3 linked regions of the Callithrix jacchus genome follow. The protein of the gene in region 1 interacts with the protein of each later gene in a pairwise test. Links are inferred from orthologs where the notes say so. Each region holds a gene or a part of one and is shown in the gene's direction. Other genes may lie near its edges.

The links.
Region 2: the proteins of CEP70 (region 1) and ATP5PO interact in binary tests that used the Homo sapiens proteins (3 or more experiments, as listed by UniProt). The two-hybrid records come from large-scale screens. The link is inferred for Callithrix jacchus from reciprocal best matches to the Homo sapiens genes CEP70 and ATP5PO.
Region 3: the proteins of CEP70 (region 1) and BEX2 interact in binary tests that used the Homo sapiens proteins (3 or more experiments, as listed by UniProt). The two-hybrid records come from large-scale screens. The link is inferred for Callithrix jacchus from reciprocal best matches to the Homo sapiens genes CEP70 and BEX2.

Annotation. Positions count from the first base shown.
Region 1 is NC_133518.1:45,829,671-45,833,321, forward strand, and holds part of CEP70 (centrosomal protein of 70 kDa), read left to right. Parts: intron 1-1,812; coding exon 1,813-1,959; intron 1,960-2,132; coding exon 2,133-2,301; intron 2,302-2,480; coding exon 2,481-2,595; intron 2,596-3,651.
Region 2 is NC_133522.1:39,988,955-39,992,705, reverse strand, and holds the start of ATP5PO (ATP synthase peripheral stalk subunit OSCP, mitochondrial), read left to right. Parts: upstream 1-1,323; 5' UTR 1,324-1,346; coding exon 1,347-1,382; intron 1,383-2,578; coding exon 2,579-2,629; intron 2,630-3,751. UniProt on the Homo sapiens protein: Subunit OSCP, of the mitochondrial membrane ATP synthase complex (F(1)F(0) ATP synthase or Complex V) that produces ATP from ADP in the presence of a proton gradient across the membrane which is generated by electron transport complexes of the respiratory chain.
Region 3 is NC_133524.1:99,382,593-99,386,343, reverse strand, and holds BEX2 (protein BEX2), read left to right. Parts: upstream 1-1,563; 5' UTR 1,564-1,693; intron 1,694-2,110; 5' UTR 2,111-2,196; intron 2,197-2,560; 5' UTR 2,561-2,565; coding exon 2,566-2,952; 3' UTR 2,953-3,196; downstream 3,197-3,751. UniProt on the Homo sapiens protein: Regulator of mitochondrial apoptosis and G1 cell cycle in breast cancer.

The DNA of each region.
Region 1 (3,651 bases):
TTTTCAAAGCTTACTTGATGAACTGCTACAACCATCCTCTCACTGCTTAGGAGACCAGAACATCTTTTTCTTAGCTTTGTAATACTCTTTTATTCTGAAGCAAAAATGTATTAGATTGGGTGTGCTTTTTTCCATAAATTACTTTATAAATGTGCCTTGTAGCTGGAGCATTGATTAATAAAGGGGTCATTATGCTGTTGCTTACTGACTTTTTTTTCCTCCCAAATTCTAGTGGCACTGATTGTAAAACATTCATTTGACACAGAATGTATTGCTGTGAATTACTAAAATAGGTAACTGTCTTCCTACCAAACGAAAGGTTAAAGATACCAATATGTGAAGTGTGAGCCTTAAGTGGAGAGTGTCAAGTGAAGTACTAAAATAAGTTCGAAAAAGGAAGAATTTCTTGTACTTCTTTCTGTTCTCTAGAGCTGTGCTGTCTTGTATGGTAGCCTCTAGCTGTATGTGGTTATTGATCTCTTGAAAGGTGGCTAGTCCTAATTGAGATGCGTTAGAAGTATAAAATATACACTGGATTTAGAAGACTTCATATGGGAAAAATTGAAATATTGATTTTATATTGAAATGATAATATTTTGGATATATTGGGTTAAATAAAATATTACAGTTAATATCACATGTTTCTTTTCACTTTTCATACTATGGCCCTAGACAACTTAAAATTACTGTGGCTCACATTACATTTCTTTTGGATAGCATTGTTCTAAAGGACTAAGCACTGTTCCATACATATATGAATTGAGTATCCCTTATCTGCAGTGCTTGGGGCTAGATTAAGAATTTTTTCAGATTTTGGAGTATATGCCATTTGAGCATCCCTGATCCAAAAATCCAAAATTCAGAATGCTCTAATGAGCATTTCTTTTGAGTGTCATGTTGCTCAGAGTTTCAGATTTTAGAGCATTTCAGATTTTTGGATTAGGGTTCAGTAAGTATTTGTCGACTGACCAGTCTAGAATGCTAAACTTCCAGTAGCCTTGCCCATTGTGCACAGTTTAAAATCACTTAGGGCATCACAGCTAGGACAAGAAAACAGAGTATTGTAAAGTAGAATACATTTAGAGAACCTTTCACATTGAAAACCTGCCTGGAGGTACATGTTATAACATTATGCTAAGTGAGAGAAGCCATTCATAAAAGACTGCTTATTGTATAATTCCATTTATGCAAAATGGCCAGAATAGGCAAATCCATAGACACAGAAAATAGTTTAGAGGTTATCCCCTGGAGCTGTGGGAAAGGAAAAATGAGGAAGGAAGGACTGTGAGTGGGTCTGAGATTTCTTTTTGGGGTAATGGATATGTTCTGAAATTAGATAGTGCTGATGTTTGTACATGTGTGAAAATATTAAAACTGAATTGTATACTTAATGAGGGTGAATTTTATGGTATCTGAACTACATTTCAATAAATCTGTTATTCAAAACTAAAATACAAGGGCAAGTTTATTCTTTATGTATCAACAATTCAAAATAACAAAATAACATGAAACAATAATAAATAATATAAAATTACTTAGAGCACCCAAATGCAGAATAATCAATATGTAATGTTTTCTGTAAAGCCTATGTTTACCTGGAGAAACCTAATTTTAACTGACTTGTTCTAAATTGGTAATAGTGTTATTAAAAAATACCAATGATGGTTACATATATATATATATTTTAACCTGCCTATATAATGTTTTATTAATTTTATAAAATACATAAAACTTATAATTTTATTAATTGTGTTATATTACTATAGAAATTATTTAAATCAATAATACCATATAGTTTCTTTTGTTATAAAGGATTTGTATAAGTCCTTGAAAACACTATCTGCAGAACTGGTACCTTGGCATAATCTGAAGAAGCAGGATGCAAATGAAGGTATCAAAGTTGAAGATTTGTTATTTATAGTAGATACTATGTTGGAAGAAGTTGAAAATAAAGAAAAGGTAATAATACTTACATAAATGGTCACATTCTAATGTACTCTTATCTTAAAAATTGATAATTTGATGTGGATATTAATATTTGTTCTACAAGAGTTCTGTTTTTCTTTTAAAAGTTTTTATTTGGGATTATTTTAAGATATGAACTCTTTCTTTTTTACCTCTCTTTTGGACAGGACAGCAATATGCCAAACTTTCAAACTTTGCAAGCTATTGTCTCTCACTTCCAAAAATTATTTGATGTGCCTTCTTTAAATGGAGTCTATCCTCGAATGAATGAAGTTTATACTAGGCTTGGAGAAATGAACAATGCTGTGAGAAACCTCCAAGAACTCTTAGAATTAGGTGATGACCTAATTTGTCATTTTTGGCCCCCATTTAAGAATTGTTTTTAATAAATTAACAAAAAGTAGATAAAATTTTTCTTAAGTAAAAAAAATTGAGGATAACTGAAGCATAAAATGTTTGATGTATGTAATTTTGGAAATTTTCTGTTGAAATATCCTTTTATTTCTCTTTTGCAGATAGTTCATCTTCATTGTGTGTGTTGGTAAGCACTGTTGGAAAACTCTGTAGGCTGATTAATGAAGATGTGAATGAGCAGGTTATGCAGGTATTAGGACCTGAAGACCTCCAGAGGTACTCATTTCAAAAGTTTACAGAGTATCATCCAGAATGGCCAGGTGTGGTGGCACACACCTGTAGTCCCAGCTACTTGGGATGCTGATGTGGGAGGATCACTTGAGCCCAGGAGTTTAAGTCCAGTCTGGGCAACATAGTGACAGCCTGTCTCTAAACAATAAAAGAAAAAATAAGTATTGTCCAGAATTCATGGAGGGGTGAAATTAAAGACTTTCAAAACTCATTTACCTTCCCTATTTGGAATAGCATCTTTTCTCTGTGTGTGTTTGTGACTGTAGGCACACACCACCATGCCCAGCTAGTGTGTGTGTGTGTGTGTGAGTGTGTGAGTGTGTGTGTGCACGTGTGCAGGTAGAGAGACAGACAAGTTTTCACCATATTGCCCAGACCAGTCTCAAACTCCTGGGCTCAAGCGATCTGCCTGCCTTGGCCTCCCAAAGTGCTGAGATTACAGGTGTGAGCTACTGTGCCCAGCCTTGGAATAGCATCAATTTTTTTTTTTTTGAGACAGAGTTTCGCTCTTGTTGCCCAGGCTGGAGTGCAATGGCGCGATCTCGGCTCACCGCAACCTCTGCCTCCTGGGTTCAGGCAATTCTCCTGCCTCAGCATCCCGAGTAGCTGGGATTACAGGCACGCGCCACCATGCCCAGCTAATTTTTTGTATTTTTAGTAGAGACGGGGTTTCACCATGTTGACCAGGATGGTCTCGATCTCTTGACCTCGTGATCCACCCGCCTCAGCCTCCCAAAGTGCTGGGATTACAGGCTTGAGCCACCACACCCGGCCTGGAATAGCATCTTTTAAACAAGTTGACAACCTAAGATAATCTCACACCCTTTGGGACGAGAAAATGCCAAGTATTTAAAAAATAAAAATAGATTGTAGGGCTTATAAAGGTCAGGAACTCTTCAGCATAATCCTGTTCTCAGGAAATATTATATATGGAGAAGTTCAAACCTTGTCAGCAACTTTATGTAGTTCTGATCATATCAATAAGTCCTATTTTTAGGACCCTACTATAGACCACTGAATACTCATTAATAGTATATTTAT
Region 2 (3,751 bases), on another chromosome or scaffold:
GGGAGAGGAAGGGGTACTTATTCCTGATGGAGGTCACCACTGCTGCTGTGTCATTCCCCTGTTGTCTAGGGTTAGATCACACAGTCTAGTCTAATTCCAACTGGCTATTTTAAAAGGAGCAGGGGTACAAGCTGGAGTGGCAGGGTGGGTAGTTTGGTGGGAAGAACGGTTACAGGCAGATCAGACTAAGTAACCAGAGGTCAAAGCAGGTGACCAGAGTAGGTGACCGGAATGAGTCAGGACGAGCAGGGGACGGGGGGAACAGATGTGAACTAGTGATTAGAACTGGTGGAAATGTTTGTTTACTGAAACTACAAGGGAGTCAAACTTTAAAATGGAGAATTAAAGAATAAGAGAGCTGAACACACTGACACACTGATTATTTGAAGAGAAACTTGGGGTTCACTATATTTAACATTCTGAACCTTCTCGTAGGCCTATCTATGCATGCACCTCCTTGTAAAAATCCAGTTTTACCAAAACTGCTAAGTCAGTTTAGCCAGAACCCCCAATTCCTGATAACTGATCATCCTTGATATCTGATCAGGGTCCTCATCTTTCACCATCCCCCAGGTGATGTGTGATCACCCTGGCCCGTCTTCTACAAGATTCCTTTAGGTCGATTTAGCCAGAATCTCCCTTACACTTGTTTCCTCTTAGTAATTTTATATCCACTGACCATTCCACTGCTTCTTGATATGGGAATTTATGAGGAGTTGAGCTCAATCTCTCTGCTAACTCCAAGACTCAATTGCACTGGCCCTATATCCATCGCTATGGTCCTGAATAAAGTCTTCCTTACCAACAACCATCATTGAATAATGTTTTATTTAACAGTGGGCAGTCATGGCCCAGGTAAGAGGGACGTGATACCTGCTCCTGGAGGGGGAAGGCTCTTGGGCACTTTTTGTTTTTGTTTGGTTTTGTCTTTGTATGCAACATGAGAAAAAGCCATTGATGCAGGCTTTAGCATGTTATGAAGGAAGTGTAAAGAAGCCAGTGACGCTGGTAATAACTGTGAAACTGAACAAATGCCACCATATTTACCTAAACGTAAATTTTAAAACTGGGGATAGCAAATCCATTCTACAGCGAGGGCCGCTTAGCCAGTAAGAAGGATTTCATTTTCAGGTGCAGTCGAAGCCCTCTGGCTCCACCCCCAGCGTCCAGCCCTTACCACTGCTAAGAACTACAACTCCCAGCCGGAGGGAGGTCTCTGCGCATGCCGCCTGACGCCCTACGACCTACACTTCCCAGAGAACCTAGCGATTACGCTAACGTGCGCCTGCGCCCTTGTGCACCACTCGCTTCTCACTCTGGTTTGACCTACAGCCGCCCGGGAGAAGATGGCTGCCCCAGCAGTGTCCGGGGTCTCCCAGCAGGTGAGAGAAAGGTGGTCCCGAGAGCCAAGGGGAGGATCCCTCCGGGGGTGACCGGTACCAGACCCAGAGCGCGAGGGTGCGATGCTTAGGCTGGGGAAGTCTGGCAGTCTTCAAGGTTGCGGGGCCCGGCGACTCAGGGCGACCCAGTGTTTGTCCCCCAGATGCTTGCGGGGCTGCGCGTGTCACGACCTTGGCGTCCTTCGAGCACAGCCTTGGGAACTGCTCGCCTGAGAGGCGCCGCAGAGAGGGTCTGCGCTTCGCTGGATTCCTGGGAAGGGGCACGGCCTATCCCCTAAATCAGCTTTCTTTGCCATTGTGGTAAAACTTGTCAGAGATCGCTAGTAATGCCAAGGAACATTCGTAAAACACATTTCACAGTTTTGTAAAGAAAATAAGGCGGAAAAGTTTAAATGAGTCTTTGGCTGCTCAGCCAGTAAGTGGTGGAGTTGCGATTTGAACCCACGGAGTCACCCAGAAGATGAAGTTTGAAAAAATGTTATGCTCTTTGTACTGCATCTCCTCTTGGTGCTTTACGTATCATGACCCCTTCCTTGCATCTGAGGCAATTTTTACGTAAGCGTTAAAAAGTCTTTTCTTCCTCACAAGCAGTTTTGACAAAACACATTCCATAGCTAGAAGTATTTGAAGGTGACCTGTGATCTGTGACCTGTGCACTTGCAGGTGATTTTTAAACTGTGGATTCCATCTCTGTCTTCTGATGAGCGGGAGACCTTCTCTCAGATCTAGGGCCTCTTGCCGGTTAAAACTGCGGCAGTACTCAAAAAATTTATCTTTATTTTCAGATAGCATTTGGATTTCGAGGAAGGTACATCTGTTTGCAAATTATCTGCCTAAGGGTGTTGTAATAGAAACGCCAAAATTTTCGTTAAATATTTTAGAAACATGCACTCTTGGAAGTTAGTGTTTCTCTGTCATACAGGTGTGCTAGTCTCGGCCCATTCCTAGCAAAGTAGGATGTTAGTGGGAAGGTGATTTCCCAAGCAACTTGAGATAATCCTCACTGGGTAAGTTTACTCCTTAGTAATAAAAAGTAGCTAAATGTAATATGTGGTGATACAAAGAGACAAAACTAATGATTTTAAGGTCATTTAAAAAATTGTTTTGTTGTTACTGAGTTAAATGCAGAAACCCTCCAAGTAATCTTGTTTGATCTACTTTGCTTTATTGCTTTGAAGGTGCGATACTTCGGTACATCTGTGGTCAGACCATTTGCCAAGCTTGTGAGGGTATGTTAATTTCTGTTCTTCTGTAATTATAAAGCACGTGCAGGTGTGAGCCAAACAGCAGTACAGTCAGGGCGTGGATTTTGGGTAGTTACTATCTAAACCTTTTTGCACATCTCGGTTCCCAGAATGTGAGGTATGTGCAGGGTGGAGAAAGGAGTGATGTTGAGTACTTGCTTTGTGACAAGCCTATGTGTAATCTTTAAATATGAGAACTTGGTTTTTAATCATTTGTTTTTCCATTCTCCCTCTAAAATAGGCAAGCTAGCATTTACTTATTCTTTTAATGAAAGAAACAGGTTTAACAAAGTGGCATGCCCAAGTTATCACAGAAAATTATTGTTGGAGTTGATACTAAAATCGAGATACCAGACTGGGTGCGCTGGCTCACTCCTGTAATCCCAACACTTTGGGAGGCCAAGGCAGGCAAATCATGAGGTCAGGAGATCAAGACCAGCCTGACTGACAAGGTGAAACCCCGTCTCTACCAAAAATGCAAAAAATTAATTAGGCATGGTAGCAGGCACTTATAATCCCAGCTACTTGGGAGGCAGGATAATTGCTTGAACCCAGGAGGCAGAGGTTCAGTGAGCCAAAATCACACCACTGCACTCCAGCCCAGGCAACAGTGTGAGACTCCATCTAAAAAAAAAAAATCAAGGTACCTTGGTTTCTAATGTAATTCTGTTGCACATCTCCATGTTCCATTCTGGTAAGGACTGTTCATACCCTTTACACCCTTTCTCTCCACTAAGCACCAAGGAGGGTCACTATTTCTGAGAGTTGCCAGTCCCCTTCTTTTCAAACCGGTAGTCCAGTTGCCCCCAGATAAAGAAGACTATTAGTGACACATAATAAATGAAGTTCCCCAGGAGGCCTCCATAAATGACACATGGCTAACAGCTGGTAGCAGCTGGAACATGATGTCTGACTCCGTTTCTGTGGGTTATTTTGAAATTTCTTTATTTGATTAAAGACAGTTCCTGTGTGATAGAGAATTGATTCAACTGTCAGGGAGTAGGAACTTCTCAAAGATGTGCTGGGCCATCTAGCCTACTCACACTTTTCCCCCACCAAATCAACAGTGAGCCAATCCTCCCCTTGGAAAAAGATTATGAGATCTGT
Region 3 (3,751 bases), on another chromosome or scaffold:
ATGGGGAGATGGATGGAGCAAACCACTACCATGGCACGCATAAACCTATGTAGTAAACCTGCACGAACTGCACATGTATCCCAAAACTTAAAGTATAATAAATTTAAAAAAAAAGAATTCTGTTATTTCAGCACCATTTGTTAAAACACTATACTTTCCATATTGAGTTATCCCGACATCTTTGTCAAAAGTTAATTAACAACGTAGGTATCAGTCTATTTCTGGACTCCCTATTCGGGTTCTATTAATCCACAGGTCTGTGTTTACTACTACATTAACTACTGTATCATTATAATTTAAGTCTTGAAATAATATAATGTAACTCTCAAGATTTGCAGGATTTTTGTTTTTCTTTTCCTTTTTTTTTTTTTTGAGTCTGAGTCTCGCTCTGTCATCATGCTGGGGTGCGGCAGCGTGGTCTTGGCTCACTACAATCTCTGCCTCTGGGGTTCAAGCGATTCTCCTGCCTCAGCCTCCCGAGTAGGTGCGGGCCACCAGGCCCAGCTAATTTTTGTATTTTTAATATAGACGGGGTTTCACCATGTTGGCCAGGATGGTCTCTATCTCTTGACCTCGTGATCCACCCGTCTTGGCCTCCCAAAATGCTGTGATTACAGGCATGGGCCACCACGCCTGGCCTAGGATATTTTTTAAAAAGTATTTGTCTGTTTTAGGTCCTTTGCATTTCCAAATGAATTTATGAGTAAGTTTGTAATACTTATCTTGTATCTGCAACCTTCTTAAAATCAATTCTTACTCCTATAGTAGATTAACTGTAGATCTCTTCGGATTTCCTGAATTCATGATTATTGACATGCAAATAAAGACATACTTATTATCATTTGAACCAGAAATTTGTGAAAAAGGTCTTTTTTTTTCTTTTAGTTCTGAAAACCCAACAAAGCTCTGTAGCACTACAACTCACTAGTTCATCTCATAGAAGGGCCTCATATGTCCAGGGGCCCCTCAAAAGGGGAGTCATCAGCTGCCCTGTCCTTTTCCAAGTTCTAAAAAAGCAGCTGTCGGTAGTGTCTATATTTGTATAATGATTTAACAGGACAGGTGGTTAGGATGTTTTCCCCAACTTTAATCCCGTTTTTCAATTAAAAATAACATTTTTTCCTCTTTTAAGACGTATATATTTTTTGTTTCATATGAAAGAACACAGAAAGGTATTAAGAATGAGAAAAGTCTACTCTTTTGGGCTCCTTTTCTGATATACCTCTTCCACTAGTTTTAGTGGAGGGAAATCAGAGTATTGGTAGGAGAGAGGACAGAAGGAGGTGAATCCTGGGAGCCAAGGACAGAGAGAGGCAAGTCCCCAGAGTGGGAACGGCTAACATCTCCCTGAGATGATATGTTCCTCCCTGGGCAGGCAGAGGAAGTCCGAAGAACACACAAAGAAAGGAGAGTGGCAAAGCTCAGGCCGGGGATGTTCAAAGGGACTCCCGGTGTGAATGGGGGCTGGCCCGAAAGCCCCGCCTGACTCGGGGCTGCAGGAGGGGGCGTGGGACGGGGGCGGAGCCGCTGGCGATGACAACCGCCCCACGTGACCTGCCAAGTGAGTCTGTCTCGCTCTGGTGTCAGAGCCGCCGTCGCTCGCTCCCTTCTCGGCAGCGGTACCTGCTCCAGGTGGCCCTGAGAACGTGCGGGCCGGGGGCGACCCCGAAAGTAGGAAGCGGAGGGGAAGCAGGTAAGGGACCTGGAGGAGATCCCTGGGGTTGGTGTTGGGGAGCGGCCCCGGCCTGAGGATGACCCACCCCCGGGTAGCCGCGCGGTGACGCAGGCGGTCCACCATGAAGCAGACCCCGGGCCCCACCGCCTTCCTTGAGCCGAGAGGTGCCCGGCCTCGCGAGAGCCGGCGGTCCTGAGGCTACGACCCTTCGGAAACACCTGCCTCCGCCACCTGCGCAAGCTTTTCCGACACCCCTGCCCCGCCCTTCTTGGTGCAGAAAATGGTGGTCATCTTGGGGGGAGGGGCTGCTGAGGCGGGGGGCGAGGGCGGCGAGGAGGGCCCGGGCTCGGGACGGGGAAGGGGCTGGGTGACAGCTTGTCATCGCTAGCGTTCCGCTCCAGCAGCCCCCACTCCCTGCCCCCTGCTCTTCTGCAGGTCTGAGGGACTAAGTGTCCGGCGGCGCGCCTCGAGTCGAGAATCGGGAGGAGGAGATCGCAAGGATAGGCCCAGGTCGGTGCGAGGTACGGTGGTGGGGCGGGGGTCGGAACGTGAGGAAAGCCCAGTCTGAGACCCCAATCCATGCCTTCACTCAACACTTCGCAATCCTTCCCCTCCCCCACCCCATCCTCGTCCTCCATTTTGGTGCCTGCAGAGGCCTGGAGATGGATCTGCAGGGAAGATGGTGGGCTTTGCAAGAGAGAGGGGCTAGGATTGTCTCCCCGCGAGGGCACACTGGGTCTCTCTGGTGGAAAAAAAAATGAAATTTTAAAATGGCCTTTGAAGTCCAGGGCTCTGAATTTTGAAAGGTGTATAGTAGGGTCTCTGTCCTCGGTGCTGATCGGTTCACCAAGAATTGAGTCTCTTTTTTTCTCTCTTGTCTCCTAGGAGTAATGGAGTCCAAAGAGGAACTAGCGTTAAACAATCTCAACGTGGAAAATGTCAAAGAGGAAAATGAAGAAAAAGATGAAAAGAAGCAAGTTGCTAATAAAGGGGAGCCCTTGGCCCTCCCTTTGGATGCTGGTGAATACTATGTGCCCAGAGGAAATCGTAGGCGGTTCCGCGTTAGGCAGCCCATCCTGCAGTATAGATGGGACATGATGCATAGGCTTGGAGAACCACAGGCAAGGATGAGAGAGGAGAATATGGAAAGGCTTGGGGAGGAGGTGAGACAGCTGATGGAAAAGTTGAGGGAAAAGCAGTTGAGTCATAGTCTGCGGGCTGTCAGCACTGACCCCCCTCACCATGACCATCACGATGAGTTTTGCCTTATGCCCTGAATCCTGATGATTTCCCTGAAGTTTATAGGAAGACCCCTGCTTCCTAAACTTACATATTTGTGGTGTACCTTTGTTGCAAACCTTTTGATGTTACTTATTTCTTGTGGGTCTCCTGATACCAGCTTCTAACTGAATGTTGTTTCTGACCCAGTTTGTAAGTTTCTGTCAGCAGGCGAGTTTTACCTACTGCATGGAAAGATGCTCATTATATATTGTGAAGTTAATAAAGCAGTTTTAAAAAGCATTCTCTGCATTCTTTTTTACTTTAAATCTTAAATATGAACATAAACAGTCATGTATATATACATATATACACACACATATATAGTAAATAATGTTTATCTCTGTGGTAGAATTAAAAGGGAATTTTATTCTTGCTTATCCATCATTTCTTATTTTTCAAAATGGAACTCTATTACTTATATATGACCACCTTATAAAAGCAATGTGTACACTTATTAAACATTTATGACAGAATCTCAATTTGAGCTTACCCCTGGGATCTCTTTTTAGAAATGTAAGTGACACATCTCTCTGAAGATCATAATATTTATCAGTAAGATGAAGACAAGCAACCTCCCAGGGTTGCTGTATTGACCAGATGAGAGAATAAGGTTGTGAACTTTCTCCCAAGTTCTTGCTCTTAGTGACATGCATGACCCAACCCTTTAGATATTTCCTTCCGTTATTAGAGGACATTTCCGAGGTGAGGTCTTCCCTATGCTTACAAGTCCAGTAGGCTTAGGAGTAGGTACTTTCATTCCTCTGCTGCTGCGTTCTATTGTCATCTTCCCTGGAT